Linked DNA regions of Oreochromis niloticus. The protein of the gene in region 2 purifies or fractionates together with the protein of the main gene of each other region. This does not show direct contact. Links are inferred from orthologs where the notes say so. Each region holds a gene or a part of one and is shown on either strand. Other genes may lie near its edges.

The links.
Region 1: the proteins of rnf111 (region 2) and skia purify together in Homo sapiens (affinity purification with western blotting, with the first as the bait; 3 studies listed by BioGRID). This does not show direct contact. The link is inferred for Oreochromis niloticus from reciprocal best matches to the Homo sapiens genes RNF111 and SKI.

The regions. Positions count from the first base shown.
Region 1 is NC_031984.2:34,007,748-34,017,645, reverse strand, and holds the start of skia (v-ski avian sarcoma viral oncogene homolog a), read right to left. Parts: upstream 4,651-9,898; 5' UTR 4,121-4,650; coding exon 3,215-4,120; intron 1-3,214. UniProt on the Homo sapiens protein: May play a role in terminal differentiation of skeletal muscle cells but not in the determination of cells to the myogenic lineage. Functions as a repressor of TGF-beta signaling.
Region 2 is NC_031965.2:21,988,160-21,998,509, forward strand, and holds the start of rnf111 (E3 ubiquitin-protein ligase Arkadia), read right to left. Parts: upstream 4,259-10,350; 5' UTR 4,106-4,258; exon of another isoform or gene 3,770-4,105; 5' UTR 3,707-3,769; intron 1-3,706. UniProt on the Homo sapiens protein: E3 ubiquitin-protein ligase. Required for mesoderm patterning during embryonic development. Acts as an enhancer of the transcriptional responses of the SMAD2/SMAD3 effectors, which are activated downstream of BMP.

The DNA.
Region 1 (9,898 bases), on a different chromosome or scaffold from region 2:
AAAACACATGCTTTTTGTTGTTAATTGCCAGCATAGAAGAAGAAACGTGAAAGAGGTCTGCAGACACAGCAGCGTATACACAAAGCAGCAAACCTGGATGAAACACTCTTTCTAAATATTCTTAGAAAGTGAAGAATACTTTTGTCTTTGAATGCACTCCATACCTTCAAGCAAAGACTGAAGCACCATTCACACAGTGAGGGGGTTCATTTCCAACACTGTTAGAGTTCTGATCCTCGGCTCGAACCACAGACACAACTCTATCATGTTAGTCGTGTTTTTAATGGGACGGCCCAAAATATAGTTTTTAATACAGCAGCAGAACTCATTACAGAACCCTGGCTGAATTGGTGTCCTCTCCAAGCACAGGGCACAAAATGGACTTTTTATGAAAATAATATAGGAAAGTATACAAACTGACTGAAACACCCACACAGTCGGGCTCCACTGCAGACTGCTGCACAGAATCAGCATGGTAATATTCCCTGAACAGCCATTGAAACGCGCAGCTCCCAGCTGTTGTTCTGTCCACTGTGTGGACATGGCTGACTGTCAGCAGGCTTAGCCAGCACTGCGCCTTGCATATGAAACAGGACATGGGCCTATATCCCCTGTGGGAGTTCACTTCCTCTGAGCCCCCACCACCACAGCCCCACGTCTCTCCTGAAACAAGCAGCTCCTTCAGCTGGAGGCCAGATATCCCAAGCAGCGGGGGTAGCAGGGTGGGGGCAGCAGAAAGGGAAGTGCTGGCTTCTGCACATTACAGATTTAAGAAGTGCCCTGACTTGGAAGGATATATTCAGACTCGACAGTTGTGCGTTCCAACCCTACGCAGGTTTGGTTTGAGCCTTTCCTCAGCCACACGTGGAAACAGCCTGCAGGAATATGCTGGTTGTCAGCACAACAACGCAGCATATGTGGAGCATCGACGCAAAATGGCCTCTGCTATTGTTCTGGCTGGTTTTTAGTGCACATCTGTCTCTGAACAAATCCCATCCCAGCACTTTAGGAGGAACCTGAAAGCTCCGCAGACACGCACGCTTCGCTCACGACCAGTTACAACAGTCGTGTAAACATGCTCACCACTCTGAGGAGGCGCACATCTGCAATATGAGACAGACCGATGAAGCAACAACAATAATAATAATAATGATACAGTAACCAAGAAGCCCGAGGAGGACCCTCTCCACGTAGGAAGGTGCCAAAACCCAAACAAACCAAAAAAGTCTGAGGTAAACTTTTTTCTAAGCCAAGCACGAGTCGAGCTTCAACTGCTCACCACCGTCCACCACAGCTACCCTCGCTCTTTAGTTCTCATATCTCTCTCAGCCAGGCAGATTGTGCAGAGCTGACGTCATCGTGAGGCCAAATTATAAAGTTAGTGTCACACTAAATCTGCAGCCACAAGCCTTATCTCCACATCCTCATGTGGAAACCCACTCATTATGTGTGCCAGCCAGAAAGGAGAAGCCTGGCATGGCAATCTGGGGCCGGCCTGCGCAGAAAATCCTTCCCCAAACTACGTGGAACGCTTTAATGCATTTGTGCTTTGCAGCCTGCACTGTGGCCTTGCATCCTATGAGATAAAAAAAGGAAAAATGAACTTCAAGTTCACACTTCTCCACAACTGGAGGCACGCTGCTAAATGTGAACAGCTTTTTTTACTCTGTGATTCACTCGTCTCTGGAGGAAGCTTTCAAAAGAGCGTCTGCAAGGAGGGAAGTGTGGCAATATCGCTTCCTGTGTCTGTCTGCTATGCGAGACTGCTGCTGACACTTTTCTATCAGTCTTACTAATATTCACTGAGCTGCCCTCCTTTGACAGCAGTGACGTGTTTCAAAGTAAGGCGCTGTGGCGACATCCTCCTCAAACATTTCCTCAGCTGTGCCCAAATGTGTTGAGAAAAAGGAGAGCAACAATATTTCTCAACCTGTGCGCAGTCCCTCAGATGCTCGGGGGCGGGGCTTGAATTAAAAAGCATTTCAAACAAGCCTTGAGCTTAACATTCGGGCGCCCCGTCAGCACTTGGAAAAACACAAGAGGCCCCTGAAAGTGGAGGTCCTTGAGGTGTGTCCACTCAAGTCTGAATGAAAGTGTGTGCCAAGAGTGTGTGTTCACCGTGCATGGTAGGACTCTGGCACTCTTCAGGACTTCAAGGGCCTCCCTGATCTCCCTTTCTTTGGCAGGTTTTTCTGAAAGAAGCCTCAGTGGAGGAGTGGAGGAAAGCTCTTGTAAACACTTGTGCTGTTGCTTTCTGAGCCTCATCAACAACTCCGCTCTGCTCTACAAGTCCACTGAGGAGAGGGAGAGTAGGCAAAAGGAGGAGCCCTGTCAGAGCTGGGTGGCTGCCCTGGTAGAGGGGGTTCTGATGTTTGCTGAATGCTTCCCTTTGTTGGGATCATGTTATGTTTCCACCACAATACTTCTAAACCCCGCTTCATCAGCTCCATTCATGTGTAACAGTTCATGCAAATGGGCTCACTAGCCTTTTTCCCCCCACAGCGGTGGGATTCTTTCTATCAGTCTGCAAACACCAAAGCTAACAGAGTCCTTCCACGCAGCTGTAAAGTAAGTTGGCTCAGAAAAAGCAAACCTGATGATTGAGGCTGGAGGTGTGTGACCACTGAAAGCATGCAGAACCTAAAACCTGATTACTGGGACTGTTCAAACAAGAACACAGGAGAACGTGGATAAGACTAGAGAGAGGGGAAATGACATCAGCACTGATTAAACCACAGACAAGTAAAATGACACATAAGACACCAGACCGGTCTGTCACACTAACAGTCAGGTCTATCTCGCCCACTGGAGATAGAGACAGTCACAGACAGCTTCTAGCCCACTGAACCACAGTGTTCTGAAGAAGGGACAACATTATCTCACAACTGTTGTTTACTATTTCCCATTGAGCCGTTTGTTGGGAAATGAGATTCTATTTACTGTACAGGCCAATAAAAAGCGACCCTTTAGGTGTTTGACGGTCAGATAATGGCTTTATTGCCACCAGAGGCATATTGTTGTCGCTGCTGGATGACGCCCAATTAGTAAGACCACAGCAGCAGCAGTGACCAGACACTGTCAGGCTCAGCATCCACTCTTGAAACGTGTTTGCTCGGGACATGTTTCAAGTTTGGTGGCCCACGCTCGTTTTAACGTTAAGGAGAAGGGTGGAAAATAACAAGCTGCAACAGTTAGAGCTCGGAGACCAGCTCACCTTGGATGATGCTTTCCTCTTGTACTTGTTGGCGAAGTCGAATTTCTCCTTAATCTCGTCCAGGAACAGCTCCAGGCGGGCCTTCTCCTCTTTCTCCGTGTAATCCTGGCCCAGGAGGATGTACGCCCTCCAGTTGGCCGAGTCGAAGCCCCAGTGGCAAGTCCTGTTCTCCTGCGCCTTGTGGCCGTGCACCACGAACTTGTGGGTCGGGTACATTAGTCTGCAGTCCATGCACTGGATGCACGCTGCGTTTGGGCTGGTGTACAGCTCCGGCACGAACAAGCCTTTGCACTTGCCGAAGCACTCGTGATAGACTTTGAAGCTCCTGTCGGTGAACTGCAGCTCCAGCGAGCCTCCGTTCATCTCCTTCTTGCAGCGCGGCGGGTAAGCGCCTCCGTAGATCAGGGCGTTGCAGAGCCGCTCTGCGTCCGTCTTGGTGATGAGACCGCAGGACGGCGCCGAGAAGGGCAGGATCCCCATGACTTTAAGGATTTCCAGCTGGTCGGCCGTGCAGCGGGAGCAGTAGATGTGCAGCTCGTCGCACACGGAGTTGATCTGCTGCAGGGTAAAGTCCCGCAGCACCGTGTTGAGAATCTGCGGCAGACACAGCCGTTTCTCCCCGCCGACCACAAAGCAGGAGATGGTCTCCCCCTCCAGGACCGTCTCGCACCTCTCCGTGGAGCGGTCCGACGGGATGAAGAGCGGGCCGGGCATCACGGGCGGCGGCAGATGCTGCAGAACCGGCTCGGGCTCCTTCCCGTCCTTCTTAAAGAGCAGCTCATGTTGCCAGCGAGCAGAGAAAGCGGCCGGTCCACCCAACGAGCTCATAGAGCTGAGGTGAAACTGCTTGAGAGTTTGTTGCAGTCCCGGATGAGGCTGGAAGCTCGGCCGACTTACAGTCTCCATGCTTTTCCTGCAACTTTAGATGCGTAAATCCTTCCTACGGTCGACCGGGAATCACAACCAGCTAGGCGTCCTTCAACCTGGTAAATCCACCGTGTCCCAAAGCTGATCAGATGTGCGAAACGCCTCATCAACCATCCAGGAAAAAAGTCCCAGCTGCGGTTTTATTCCCGTGTGTGAGTCAACACCGACCAGTCGCTCCCTGTAACAGTGCGCCGACTGTCCATATTTGAAAAAACGGCTTCCAAACTCCACCGAGGCGAAAAGTTCCGTTTGTCAGGCGTGAAAACGAAATGTAAAAATCCTTATTTGAGGTTCTTTCCGCTGTCGAGGACGAAACATCCACCCCGTCTGCCCCCGCAGTTCACTCTGACTGCGCGGAGAGAAGTCTGAAGAGCCAGCCCGCTCGCGAGAGCTCTCTCTCCCCCTGTCTGAGTGCGCGTGTCTCTCTCTCTCTCTCCCTCGCGCTCGGTCTAGGTCTCTCTGTCGCGCGCTCACTCACACGCCCCCTCCCTTTGCGTTTGTGTCTGGCTCAGTCATTGAATCCCGGCCAGGAATGTGAGTGACTCTGCAGGCAGGCCGGGCTCTTCCAGGAACAAGCCGCCACCCCCCGCACGTACACGCGCGCACGTGCACACAGAAAAGAGAACAGCGAAGAAAAAGAAACGAACTGAGCAAAGCAAAGACAACGACGCATTCAGGCCGTGGAAGAAAAGGAGAATTTAGACTTTTTGCTACTTTTTCCAAGGCGTAGATGGGAAATGTGGGTTTTTTTACCACGTGGCACCCCAAGCTGTGTCTATACGATGCTTTAGCCTTTCATTCTAATATATAATTGACTGCATGGTTGGCTCTTAAAGGAGAGACTCTTCTTTTGATGAAGAAGCTTTATTTGTCACTTGCAGTTACCTGCAGCGAAACAGGACCTCTTCCGACCATACACACATTACACAAACGTCACATCGGGGAGACAGGTCAGAACAGGTAGCATAAAGAAAAACAATGAAACGTACAACACAATAGGCAGCGGAGGAGAGAAAAAGTACAATATTATTACATTTACTTTGTTATTTTGTACTCTGTTCCTTTATTATTACTATACACCTTTATTTGAATGATTTTATACTGCTAATAAAATGTTTGCATTTTAAAAATTATTATCATTAAGTTATTTAAAAACCAATGAACGATACCCTATTACTGCTGCTATATTATAATGTGGGTAAACATCTGGAGCACACAGTTTACACATTGGTGACCCATTTCTCCGCAACTTTTGTCTGCATTTCAACTCAACATGCAGTTTGTTTACAGCAGCGGTGCAGTAATCCATCGACGAAACCCCGACGGGAACGGAATTTTCACGCAAACTAGGAGTGCTCGTATTTACCACATTTCCCATGTACCCCGAAGCTAGCAGAAGAGCTGGGTGTCTATGTGAATCACTCGGTTCACGGCTGCTGTCAAGACAGAGAGAAAAAGTCGAAAGAGGATGGGTGGTGTTTTGCGAGACAAGACAAATTTAGCTTTGGAAGAGGAAACGCAAATTGCACGACTGACTGCGGTTTATTTATTTTCCCTTCTGCCTGAATGTGTTAAAACTGTTTGGCAAGAGGCGCCGAGTAAACAAGTTTCATGTGTTGGCGACCTTGAGAAACCATCCTGCTAATGAAATGGCTAGAGTCTTGTTTTTTTCCACAGACCAGCTATAATAAGTTGTTAGTGGACATTTGAACATGCACCTGCGCTCTCAGCATCATAATTGTTCGCTACCTTTAAACCTTCTCTCTTATTTGCTTTAAGTACCAGGTCGCCTAATATATCAGATCTGTGAATACCACTCATATAAATAGACAGAGGCTTTGTTTTCTCTGAACTTTGCTATAACAAGTGAAGAGGAGAAAAATAAATGGCTGATTCAAACATACAAGCTCAACCTCAGGGGGTCCGAGTCGAAGTTCAACTCCAGTACGAGTTTGCTGTTCCTGTGGCGTCCCCTAGCCACACAGTGTTGTAACTGCAACGTTATGGCAGGATCGGGGGTCAAGGATCTCCCACTGCTGACCACAAACAAGTCTGACGGGCAACTCTTGAGTTTGCATTTGTGAATGTCGAAACATGATTAAATATTTCTACTGCAGCATTTTATCATTTAGTCACCAAAAACTCTATAGGACTGAATTTATTTATTCATTAATTAGTTACTAATCATACTAATAGAAAAGTATCTTTATCCCACCTGTAACAATAAAAGAACATATTTAAATCACAGTAGTTCTCAGTATTTGTAGAACTGCAGAGTAACTACTCAGTTATATGAACCCCAAAGAGTTTGTGGTTCTGACTATCAGTGCGCTGTCTGCAGCAAGACAGAACATGAGATTTATGACTGAACAGTAGTACAATCTGTGCTCTTTGACTGTATGTGTTACACACAGCCCCAACAGTGACTGATTACTGATTACGTGTAAAGTTTTTAAATAACCTTTATACAGTGTGCAGCCAGTGGTCCCTGAGGTGTTGGAGGCACAGGTCTGGGCTCCAGCCCTGTCGTGGCAGCATGACACCATCCTCTCAGCCAGCATACAGCTGTGGCACCTATACTGGCACACTGTGTTTACTGGCTGTGTGTGGATTTTGTCTTCTCTCTCCCACAGTTTCAAGTGAGATACAAAGCGTGTGTTTCCTTTAGGCTTCTCATTCTATCAAGGCCAAAGCTGTTAGACAGTGCAGAGTGTGTGCCAACCCTCATTTTCAATGATTCATGTTCTTACCAAGCAGTGCTTGTCCTCCTGCCCCCCCCCCCCCCCCGCCCCCAAACATCCAGCGAGCTCATCTGTGATTATCATTTACTCATATGTGGTTAGTGAGGTAAGTTCAAATTTAGACCTTCAGTGTCACAACAGTGGGTCGCTTCTTATCAGGGTACATCACCATGGTAACTTGTGCTATACACTAGCATGCTCTGCAGTAGGTTATTTTTGACAGAGCTGAGACAGTGCTTAGAGCTAATGCTTAAAATCTTTCCTCCCAGGACTACTCCAGAAAACCCCAAAGAACGACAGCAGCTTTTCCTCACACGGGCATGGCTGCAATTCCATGTCCATGTGTTTGGAACGTAGCCATAACCAATTGCAAAGGTTTCCTCCAGAGAAAAGAGAGTCTGGACGACCAGTGGTGAGATGGAGCAGATCTGTGGTACAGTGGATATAATGTTACAGTGAATGTTCGAGTAATATGGAACCAGGTTTCAAATAATGGGGTAAGAAAAAAAACATGTTAGTGTACATTTTAAAACATACAGACACACAATCAGCTATAACAACAGACACTGGTTCCAACATGCACACATGCATGCATGCATTGTTGCAAACTATGGCCAAAAATAAAGGGGAGAAGATTAAAGAAAGCCTAACCCATAAAATCCTCCAGTCATTCCATTAGCAGCCTTGCTGCTGTGTCCTGCATCAGCTGGAGACGAGCTATGGAGACGAGCTATGGAGGACTGAGAGATGCATGTGAAAAATCAATTGCAATAAGAGAGAATTCAGCTGTGAGGATCTTCTCCTGTGGAACCAGCTTCCAGTTTGGATTGTGGAGGCAGACATGTCTCTAATTTAAGGATTAGGCTTAAAGCTGTCCTTTTTGATACAGCATACACCTCATAGACTCTGAACCATCTCTTGGTTATGTTATTAGAGTCTGAGGCTGTTGGGGGAACTTCCCACAATGAATCGAGCAATTCGGTTTCTGTTCCACTCTTTCACTCCTCACGGTTATAGCGCCATCAAAAAGTATCTGCATCCTTTGTCATTTCTTAGTTTTCTGCATATTTGTTGCATAACCAGCAGTTGGGCCACGGAAGTAGATCGCGGAGGGAAAAAGAGCAGAGACCATGCAGTCCAGTTTAATATATGAATATATTTATCTAAATTAATATTAATGGTCCTGGGTCTGTTACCCTGTGTTACTGATTCTCTTTTCTGATCCTTCCAGTTTGTGTATTATTACATAGCTTGTTTCTTAAGTTTCCTTTTCAGGTATTAAAACTTTGGTTTTATCTGTTTTGTAGGTTACATTTGTTGTTTATAGTCACCCTGTCAGTTTGTAATCTGGTTATGTTCATGGTTGTAGTTTGTTGTTATTTTTGTTTTTCCTGCCTTCCCTGTTTTTAATTAAGTCTCCATCTCTCTGTTATTGTTGCTTGTTTATTACCTTCCATATTATTTTGATAGTCACGTGTTCCTGTGCTTTGTATTCAGTTTATTTCCATGTTTCATTTCATTAGTTACAACTGTATCATGTCCAATTCCCCTGATTGCCTCATTCGTGTGTGTTAGGTCTCGGTTTGTCTCCGTCCTTTGTTGGGTCGCGCTGTTTGTTCGCTGTGGTTCTTCCTGTCTGTGTCTTCTGGTTTGAGTTTGTCGGACTTTCCATTTATCTAAATAAAGGTTTGTGTTTTTGTTTTTTTAACTCTGCAAACCAGTCTGTATCTGGGTCCACATCTGCACTCTACATCAAATCAAATCAAATCACTTTTATTGTCATGTCACATGTGCAGGTACACTGGTACAGTACATGCGAGTGAAATTCTTGTGTGCGAGCTTCTCAAGCAACAGAGTTGTGCAAAAATACAATAACGTAAAACAAGCAAAAATATAAGAATGGCTAAATCTGAAAGTAATAAATATATGTACAATAAGAGTATATGCATTATTGGATGTGTATACTAAATATGTTTTTCTACGTGTGTGTGTGTGTGTGTGTGTGTGTGTGTGTGTGTGTGTGTGTGTGTGTGTGTGTGTGTGTGTGTGAGTGAGTGAGTGTGTATATACATATTTTACAAATGAAATAGAGTAAACAATAAAATAAGATATATAAAATGTACAGAGGTTGGTATGTGCAAAACAGTGGCATTAATGTACAGTGTGGAGTGCATAATGTTGAAGTTCCAGTAGTGAAGGTGAGGTGTCTATGACGTGTTCAGCAGTCTGATGGCCTGGTGGAAAAAGCTGTCTCTCAGTCTGCTGGTACAGGACCGGATGCTGCAGAACCTCCTTCCTGATGGAAGTAGTCTGAAGAGTTTATGGCTGGGGTGACTGGAGTCCTTGATGATCCTCCCTGCTTTCCTCAGGCACCGCTTCCTGTAGATGTCCTGGAGGGAGGGAAGCTCACCTCCAATTATCCGTTCAGAGCACCGCACCACTCTCTGGAGAGCTTTGCGGTTGTAAGCGGTGCTGTTGCCATTCCAGGTGGTGATGCATCCAGTGAGGATGCTCTCAATGGCACAGCGATAGAAGGTCCTGAGGATGCGGGGGCTCATGCCAAATCTTTTCAGTCTCCTGAGAAAGAAGAGGCGCTGCTGCGCCTTCTTCACTGTTTTGTTTATGTGTACTGACCATGATACATACATGATACCACATCACTGGAGATGTTGCAACATCCATCAACCTCACAGCCCACTTTTTCCTCAAGGCCACAAGACACTTAAAACACATCCACTTGAGGCAGGCAATCCAGTCTTTCCTAGCGATGAACCCTAGTTTGAAATGTAGTAGTGACTCTGCCCCTATGGAACCTGAGGTTCGCTGCCCAGTGAAGCCAACAGGACCACATCATCTACTAAACGCAAGCCCAATACCCAGAACTGGATATTCTGTTAGCTAAGCCAAGAACTTGTATTCATATGATAAATCACAGACACTAGGCTGGCTCAGTGGCAACAAATCTAACTCATTGCTGGCAATGTGAACCAAGCCCTCACTAAGCACTCCCAAAGGA
Region 2 (10,350 bases):
AACAACAACAAACAAACAAAAAAACCCCACTAGATACAAAAACAGGTAAGAAACATTTAATGTAAGGTGCATAAAAGAGAAACAGTAGATGATTGTTCTGTACTGATGGTGTTTAAAAGCAGAAAAAAATCGTTTCTTAATTTGAGTAAACACTCATTCATGTTGAAACTAAAAAACAAAACAAAACAAAGTCTGAGAATATTTTCATTTGAATACTTTAATAATGAGCTGAGTAAAACCTGCAGACAGCTGTCAACATGTTATTTAATCACTCCTAGCAATGATTTATCATGTCGTCTTTTTAGGACTAAACTGTGTTTCCTTATTCCAACTCAAAAACACGTGACCACAGCTAGGCTGGAGCTAGACTTCCTGACTCCGAGAAGTGCAGGAATGCACGAACAAGTCTTCATTCTTAATATCCTTAACCAAATGCAGCATTTTTTTAATAGATTGTAAGACAATTGTACTTCTCTATTTTCAGTCTGCACGCAATCGTTCAAGCTAACCATTTTTGACATTTCACTGGCCAATCAACAACATGAACAAACAGTAATTCATCTAAAACAATACCTCACCGTGTAAATACACGACAATCTATTCATTGAACAAGTCATTTTGTTTTCTCATACAAATTAACACAGAATGACCCAAAGCTGCTGATTAAAGACAGTAAATAAATACCCATAGGCTGAGTCAAAGTAATGATGAGTCAACAGCCCTGATGTGTTTGCATTGTTGTGGATACCAAGAAAAGCATGACAAAAATCAAAAAAAGATCTGAAAGGGAGACAAATTCTCGTGTTTATTTCATGACTCTGAGACTGTATGAGTTATACTTGGGTGCACCAACGTGTATCTGCTAAGAGAAGGAGCCTCTTTCACTCTGGTGCCGTGGGAAAAATTTTCACAGTGGTTTTGAAGTCTCCCAGAACAACGACAAAGCCAGTCATTTATGAAATTTAAACCATTTTGCACATACAACAACAACAAAAAAAAAGCCATTTCCGTGACTCCACGTGTACGTTCTAAAAGCACATAGCAGTCAACAGTGCTCTTTGCACCAACATGGAATGTAAAAACTGAGAGGGCTGTGTTTCCAAACCGTCAAGAAAATCACAATGCCATTTAGTTATCAGTGAAACTGGAAACTGCTTTTAATGCAATCATCAATATCAAATCAAATCCAGAATTCAGTAGATGTAAAACGGAATACTTTCTTGCAACATATTACATAATAAATATATTGCATAGCTTGGCATTATTGGCAATCCTGGATGTGTAAACATATGGACTGCAAAGATATACATTAGAAATCTGTAATAGATAAGGCTTTAAAATTGTCATTAAAAAGGGCAGAAAACATTCTGTTTACATACTTCAGAATATGGGATCCTAGCCTGACCTATATATCCATGTATAAGCGGATACTGGCTTATTTAAGATACCATATAAGAATTCATGTTTTGGCATCAGAATTTTTCGTTTTACTGACTATAATGAAGAGAAGGATGTTTGGGGGTAATAGCAACATCGCATAGTTTTTCCAGCAGAACAGCTAAGCCTCAGAGATTATTGCAGCAAATGCAGTAGAGTAGCACCAGAATGGAGCCAAGCAGTGACTTTACAATAGGTTAGGTACTGAAGGGTTAATAATCAGCAATCCTATCACGTTCATTTTTCAGTAAAGCTGTAATACACTATATGTACCTCAACAGCTGCAAATATATTGAGAGAGAAATTTTAAACTTCCCAAATATTGGTATTAACACAATCAGTCTGGTTCTGTATAAAGTATTTTCAAGCACCATCCATCCATCCATTCGCTTCCGCTTATCCTTTTCAAGGTCGCGGGGGTGCTGGAGCCTATCCCAGCTGTCATAGGGCGAGAGGCGGGGTACACCCTGGACAGGTCGCCAGTCTGTCGCAGGGTCAACACACAGGACAGACAACCATTCACACTCACATTCACACCTAATGGCAATTTGGATTATCCAATTAACCTATCCCCACAAGCTGCATGTCTTTGGACGGTGGGAGGAAGCCGGAGTACCCGGAGGGAACCCACGCAAACACGGGAAGAACATGCAAACTCCACACAGAAAGACCCCGGCCTGACGGTGGAATTGAACTCTGGATCTTCTTGCTGTGCGGCAACAGTGCTAACCACCGTGCCACCGTGCTTTCAAGCACGAACAAAATATTTGATCATCTCTTAAAAGCAGATCAGTATTTTTCTGGCTAACTTTTTTCTGATTTAGGGCGCTTTATACCGTCAGTAAACCCAAAGTCAAATAGTCTGCACTGTATGCATGTAGTGATTTCACCTATAGCAACAAGCTGGTCGTACTTGTTGACCCGATGCAATCAGAAAACAAATTCATGATGCTACTATTTCAGAATGTAATTTGGGAACATATTGTACCAACTCTGTCTATGCAACCTGGAAGTACAAGTGATGTAACGCAACACAAAAATATGAAATCAGTGCTTTGCTAGTCCCTGTCCACATTGTGTGCTGGGAACACACAATTCACAACAACATGAATTTGATTTCAATTTCCTGCTTCAATCTGCTTTTAGAAAAATTGGAGCTAAAAGCTAAAATACCAAACATGAAGAACACTGCATGCATTTAGGACAGACACAAAGTCAGCTGACAGCAAAAGTAAATTGTTTCTCTTTAAGATACAAAATAGTGATTTTTAAAAAACCCCCAATAAAAATAACTACTACACAGTTCAACATGCTCCTGGCACTGTCTCAGTAAAATGCACTGCACTGCTTTGGTATGTACATTTGTGCATATAAGTGGTAGGTTACAGAGCATTTCCTGAGACAGAGAAAACCCAAATGCACAAGCGACGTCCATTAGCAGCATATTTCACAACAGCACCCTGGCTGTCACTTGACCTGAAGATGCAACTTCTGTCAAAGGGGATGCCAGGTTTTATGTCAGAGGAGGGTGATTTGCTCAAGTATTTAGCAAAACTGTGAAAAGCACACGCAACAATGGTCTTATATGCTTTTATATATATCTAACACATAAGTGAGAGTGCTTCAGATCTCACTGTAAAAGCTGCGCAATGACAAGCATGAATTCAGGGGCCTCAGAGGACAGCCCTGAAGGGAAAAAAAAATCCCAAAGGCTCAAAGCTGCACCATAATACTGCTGATTTCTAATGAAGGCGATAAGATCACGAAGAAAAGAGGTAGTTCTACCACGTTAACTGGTGCCTATCTATAGTAGAAAATACATGGGGGTGGGTGCAATCAGAAATGGCAACAGCAAACCAATTCAAGATGTACGACTGATTTAGTACTGCTGAGCTCTAACGATACCCACAGTGCTTTCTGACCACTAACAACTGATTAGGCAAGCAAAAACACAGCTACATAGATTTATTTAGGCTGGCAGTATCGAGCCTGAAGCTGGGGGCTAAGCATACTTTCTACAACGCTTAACAATTACAATAAGCCCAGCTGCTGTCTGCCTGCTTGCCCGTCTGTCTGTCTCTCTGTGTGTGTATGTCCCACAAACGGTGCCGAAGTGACTGAGGCTGGATAATGTCGCTTTATTAGGGAAGCACTCACACCAAAATATCAGCTACCAATATTACGATAACGAATCGAGAGAAACCAGAGTGGACAGCTAGCCGTTGCCTGATAAATATCCCAGACAGAAGACAACAAAGACAACACGTACCTGTGTCCAAGTCCTTTTTTCAAAATGTGTCACCGTCCTTTTTGCAACATGCGGGGTTGTATCCTGCAGGAAATAGTGACAAGTAGTGAAAACAGGTAGTTTTCTACGTGTTACCCGAACAGCAACTAGGCAGGCCTAGTACGCAGAAATCGCGACCCGGAGGATTGTAGCGGCCGGGATTGTGAAACTGGCAACACAGTCCCAAGCCGTGCCGAGAAGCAAAATCGAAGGCAGTGGGCCCCGGATGGCTACGAGCTAAGCTAACGCTAGCTCCACTTCACTCAGTAAATACTCGATTATAATCAGCCATTTTGGCTCGAAATGGAAACCCAGTCGACTCGAAAGAGACAATACGACCTCCGTGTTATTTCTCTATGTGACAAGATAAAAAAATCTCACTATTTGCCCTCGACGAAGTTCCCATTCCTGCCTTCCGAGGCATCCACTGTTGTTTACCCAGCAGGTCGTCTCTTGGCTGGCCGCTTCTACAATGCAGTCATTGCCCGTAATGCCGCATGGGGGCGCTGAACCCCCGCCATCTACTTTTACGACACTTTACGACAAGTTCTTTACTCTTGAAAAGTGTGGCTTAAAAAAAATAATAATAACAATATAAAATGGTCGTTACAGGCCAGACGGGAGAGTCTCTCTTTCTGTTGTTTCCTGCCAAAAAGAAAAGAGTAGAACACCGGTGTAGTTATAGGTGTTTAATCCTATTGCCGGAGTTAATGTAAGATTATGTAGCTTTATTCGAGCCTCTATTTCAAGTACTAGCACGCCCACTAGTGTCTACTAGTAGACATAGATTTGATATGAGCATAGATGGTAGATTTTTTTTAATAGTAAGTACTATTCTTTTACAAAAACAAAAACTAAACTAAACTAATATCGTCACATGCATCCAATGATGTAAAAGAAAAAGAACAACAAGAACAAGCTAGATCTTGACATAGTAATATGAAAAAGGAGTCACTTTGATTCTACGGTATTTTTTATTATCAGGACTTAATAAAATTAATCTGCCCCTTTGCAGGTCTAAAAATAGATAAATACAACCTCAGATCACTTAAAAAGCACGACATTACATTGTGCCCATTTATATAAGAAAAATTCAGCCAACATGCAGAAGCAGTGTGTGTGAAAAATACTAAGTCCATACTCACTGCTTTCATAGGAATTAAGAGAATATGAAGCAGCCAGTTTCTGCTAATCAAATGCACCTGAATAACTGATTATCAGCAAGTGTGAGCGCCTCAATAAAAGTAGAAGTTTTGTTGATCTGTGTCTTATGTTTCAGCAATCATAGCATGAACTTGTTTCAGACTTATAAGTTCATAAGTTGGTAAAATATTTTCAGCACCACACAAATTCATCCACCCATTTTCTTCTGCTTGTCCAAAGTGCCAGAAGATTAAGCACAGTGTACCACATGTTCTTTTCCCAAGCATTGTTCAACCTCCTCCTGTTCCAAGGTGCTCCCTGGTCTGCCGAGAAATATTATCTCTTCACAGATTTCTGGTTCTTTCCCTGAATTTCCTCACAGTTGGATGCACCTGGAAAACCTACAAAAAGATGGCTGACACACTTCAACTTTTCCCTTTTGACACAAAGTGGCTCTGCTCCACATTTCTTTGTCCAAGCTCATGAGCCCTTCTCCAAATCTGAGTATTACGACAAGAGACGTGGAAACCTAATTTCAAAATAAAGACCAACTTCGAGTGAATTTAGCTTCAGCATTAACAGACATGTTAAGTACACAATAACAAATATCATTTAGTCTTGTTCCACACTTTAGATCCAAATGACACACCCTTGTACTTTAGTAGGACCCTGTCAATATCAAGGCCATCTTCTTTTGGATTTCGAAGTAAAAGACCATTTCTGATGTGTGTGTATGGAAATGATGGCGTGAGTGTGTGTACATCAACGAACATCAACTTGATGTTTGCTAAAATGATAACTTATTAATTCATATATAAACAAGTTTTTTCTGTGAAAAAATAAAATCAACACCAGAGAGGGTTAAAACAATTTTATGAAAAAGTTAATTCCACACCAGCTACAAGAATAAAATATTAATAGTAAGACAGCAGGAATAAATAACAAACAGGAGAAATATATACAAAACGAGAAAACGGCACACATGAGAGAAGAGGTCACATGACAGCACAGCATTTTCTAACCACACTTTGAACTGAATAACAAAAAACATGTATTTATTCAACTTATAGACAATGAAAACAAACAGAAATCAGAGTGTAAAATTTAAAAACTTTTATTGATGTTAACTTTTTTTTAAAAAGTTATTAAAAAGAAAACCCCAACAGACAAACCCCTCTGAGCAAGCACTAGGCGACAGTGGGGAGGAAAAACTCCCTTTTAAGAGGGAGAAACCTCCGGCAGAACCAGGCTCAGTGAGGGGTGGCCATCTGCCGCGGCCGTTCCGAGGATTTTCTTAAGTATATAATTTAAAACTAGACAATTTAAAAATTCTCCAGAAACATTTTCAGTTGACATCACGATTTTTTCTATATTACATCAGCCTTGTTTTGTCTCCTGGTGAAACAAAACGGTCGGCCTATAGATGAGATGAGTTTCTTCGATAGTTTGGCTGCCTCCTTCATGTAAATTTCAGCAATCATATTGTCGATTGCTGGCTGATTTAATTCCAAGGCTAGCAGAACTAATCCTGCATTTTTAAACTCTTTGCACAGGACTTTGAAAATCCCCTTGTGGAAGTTTTTGAACTTGTCTAAGGGGATTCTATCAATTTCATCCTTGATTTTAGCCCAGATATTGTTGGTATGCCTGTTGTAGATGGCTGAAACCCTTTCCAGACTGATGACTTTGCCTGATTTTTTTACAGCACACTTAACAATTTCTTCCATACAGTTTTCTACCAAAGATCTGTATTTTTCTTCGTTTTGATACAATTCATCCTTTACTGCCAAAAGGTGGTTTTTGAATTGATTTTGCATGCTGGCTTCTTGTTGAGCAGAGGATTTCTTTGGGGTTACGTCATTTTCCAGAGAGGTTTCTGCTTTATCTATAGCCTGCATGGTGTCACGACGGCCTTTCTTGTCTATTGGAGTTCTGGGCTCATCAGTTTTTGGTTTTTTGTGTTTCCGATTGAAATTGAAATTGAAATTACAGTAGTTGAAGAATGAAAGATGTATATAACTGCTATTACTGATATTAGTGATATTAGTGAAACCACTGACATTTTGTACTCTGATGTTCACATCTGTCACATTGATGTGATTAATGTTGCCTGTCGACTGTAAGTGGTGACACTGTCTTAAATGTTAAAATCTCAAAGGACAGCATTACATTTTTGATATTAACAGTAACTCTGGACCTCTGTGGAGTGTGCAGCTGATCTCATCGCTGTCTAAAAATGGATAACAAAACCTAAGGAGTGCTGAATCCTTCAATAATACAGACTATTAGAGTAACAGGTGTGTAGTATCGCTAACTAGCTAGCAACAAGCCCCCAAAACATTGCGTATTCTAGCGGCTAATCTAGCAAACGAATTAACAACAGAGTGGTTTTAGATGTTGTAGAACTATAAGACATTAAGCTGTGTGTCTTTTTCATAACAGTGACGTGGTTGTATTTACCTTGATTGAACGAGTGTCAGTTGCGGTAAACCCATCAGCAAATAAACTGGAGCAGCTGGGCTACATAAAATGTGTAGGGGGGCGTGTTTGCGGTCACGTCCAGTGGGTGTGCAGGCGGGAGCATGACATAGTCGCTCCACCTCAAGTTACTACTGCGCAGACTCTGGCTCCAAAAATGCAAGATGGCATCCTCCACAAGCGGGATATTTTGGCTTCATTTTTGCACAATGGGAGGAGGTGCTGATGCGTTGTCCATGTTTTCTACAGTCATTGACACACACACACACACACACATACACAAAGACATGCGCCTGTCAGCTGCTGGTTTAAATAAACAAAAAAGTGACCCCGAAACAAATGCTTCTCAAGAGAAAACTACAAGTAGTATTCACAAAATTCTTTCACTGTGAGCGCCAGCAATGTCCAGTCTACAAAATTCTCAGTTTTCATGCCTGTGGAGCTTATTATATGGACGTGGTGACAGTGTAAAGACGGCCTGTACTTCTGATTTTCAGACGAATTTTGGGAGCCGTTTTAACATTGGACTCTATGGAAGAGTTGCAGAGAGGAGGCTGTGCATTGGTGACATTTATGAAAGAACCATTACATCTATTACAATACTAATAACATTGGATGAAAGAGGGCAATGATGCCTATGTTTTGGGGGTAAAATGATGGCTGTAGACTGAATGCTGTGGACACAGCAGCAGTTTAAAGAGAAGATTTTAAGAAAAATTTTTACCCTGCTCCCACTCTAGCAGTTGAACTGTCTCACTGTCAACATTCCATCCCATATGCACCCATTATAAACTCTGAAACGGGTGAAAAAAGCATGAAACTTAAACTAGAACTGAAGAAAAAGTATAAAAGTTATTAAAAAAGATAAACACAAGCTGAATAGTTCAATGTCTTGGCTTCATTTTAAAGTTTGAATGGTGTCTGTCGGTCAACATATGGGTAAGTAGTTGGAGTTGATAGAGGAGTAAGTTGAATGAGAATTTGAAGATTCTCCCATGGAAATACATTATAATTTTTGTTGAATAAAGTTGAATAATTTAAAAAATATAAAAAATATATAAAAAATATAAATATAAATATAAAAAAAATAAAAGTTAAAAATCCATCCATCCATTCGCTTATCCTTTTCAGGGTCACGGGGAGGCGCTGGAGCCTATCCCAGCTGTCATAGGGCGAGAGGCGGGGTACAGCCTGGACAGGTCGCCAGTCTGTCGCAGGGCTAACACACAACTATTCGCACTCATATTCACACCTATGGGCAATTAAGATTAATCAATTAACCTATCCCCACAAACTGCATGTCTTTGGACGGTGGGAGGAAGTCGGAGTACCCGGAGGGAACCCACGCAAACACGGGGAGAACATGCAAACTCCACACAGAAAGACCCCGGCCCGATGGTGGAATTGAACTCAGGACCTTCTTGCTGTGCTGCAACAGTGCTAACCCCGTGCCACTGTGCTGCCCTAGAAGTTAAAAATGAGAAAAAAATACAAGCACACGTGTCCAAAAGAAGAGGTGGTTGAATGGTTTTTCTAAGTTGAATAGTGTTGAAGGAGATAGCGTACAAAAAACTTACGGAAGATGAAAAGTAGAAGAACAATACTGTGGATGCTTAATCAGCATCCACACTAAATACCAACAAATTAAATGTATAGTAAAACAAAGATTTAAGACTAATCAAATTAAATTACAGACAACACCAAGTGTGGTACAATTCCTTAATCTCAAAACCCGTCCAGGAAGCAGTAGTCGGAGTATTTACACATATTACTTTCGATGACAGCATTCTCACTAATCTCCACATTACTGTTAGTTGCCACAGACGGCTGTGAAATCTGTTCCATCTTACAACTCATAGTGTTTCAAAAATGTTTTACCCCTTGGCTTAACATGAACTTATAGACACTCTTTAACATCAAACGTAATAAGCTCTGTCACTGCAGTCAAATCACCAAGATCAAGAACTTGTTTAAAATTTCAGAGCCAACAGAAGTTCCATCGTGTTTATTATTTTACTTCTCTGTGTCCAGTACTGAAGAAGATGGACCTGCAGGAGAAAGTCCTTACAAGCATTTTCAGTGCTTTACAACTTTAACACACCACCTGTCATAAAAACAAGACAAAAATATTTTAGCAATCTGTCAAAAATGCATTTAAATAACAATTACATTGCTATTAGGCAAATAAACTGAATTCACATATGGTCAGCAGACTGGGCTTCTCAGAAGTCATCAATTGATTTGTCATCTTCAGTAAAAAATGTATGTGCTTTGGTATTTTTTTTCTGAATGCTTGTGTAAAAAATGTCCAATTATTCACAGTGGACACATGATGAAAAAGAAATATTTGCACATCTGGATCACAAGACACTCATTAAACCGCCCACCCATATAGAACCCAGCGGCACTGGTTCAACTTGACACAAAGAAAGAGATGCTTTCATTTTTCTTATTTTAATTACAATAAACTGCAGTAAAAGAACAACTTCAGCAAGTGTGTTTATGAAAGAGGGAGAACGTACAGGTGACTGGGAAAATATTCTTTTAGGTTTAATAATGTCAAGGACCTGAGTCTGAGGGACCCAGGGTTCATGAGCAGTCTACTTATGTTTGATGGGGTGTGTGTGTATGGTGCTGCTGTCCCTTGTTTCCCGGTCTACTGATGTGTGTGTGTGTGTGTGTGTGTGTGTGTGTCCTGGTTTTCCTGGCACACCAGGAGCTACATAGCAGTGTGGCTGAGAGTTCCTCGACGCTGGATTGTTGCGTGAGACTTCCCGCAGTTCTCCAGCTAGTCGGTTTGTGAGTGGGAACTTGCCACAGTGAAGTTGATTGTACTAACGGTTGCCTGTTATTTCCCGGCAGGAGTACGGAAACGAGAGCGCAGCAGGCACGGAGTACACGGGCACTAGGGAGTGGACACACGGAGCACGGACTTTGGGAAGAAGACACGGCACGGGAGTCAGGGGCGTGCACGGGGATTTATTGTGTAATATTTACATCACTGT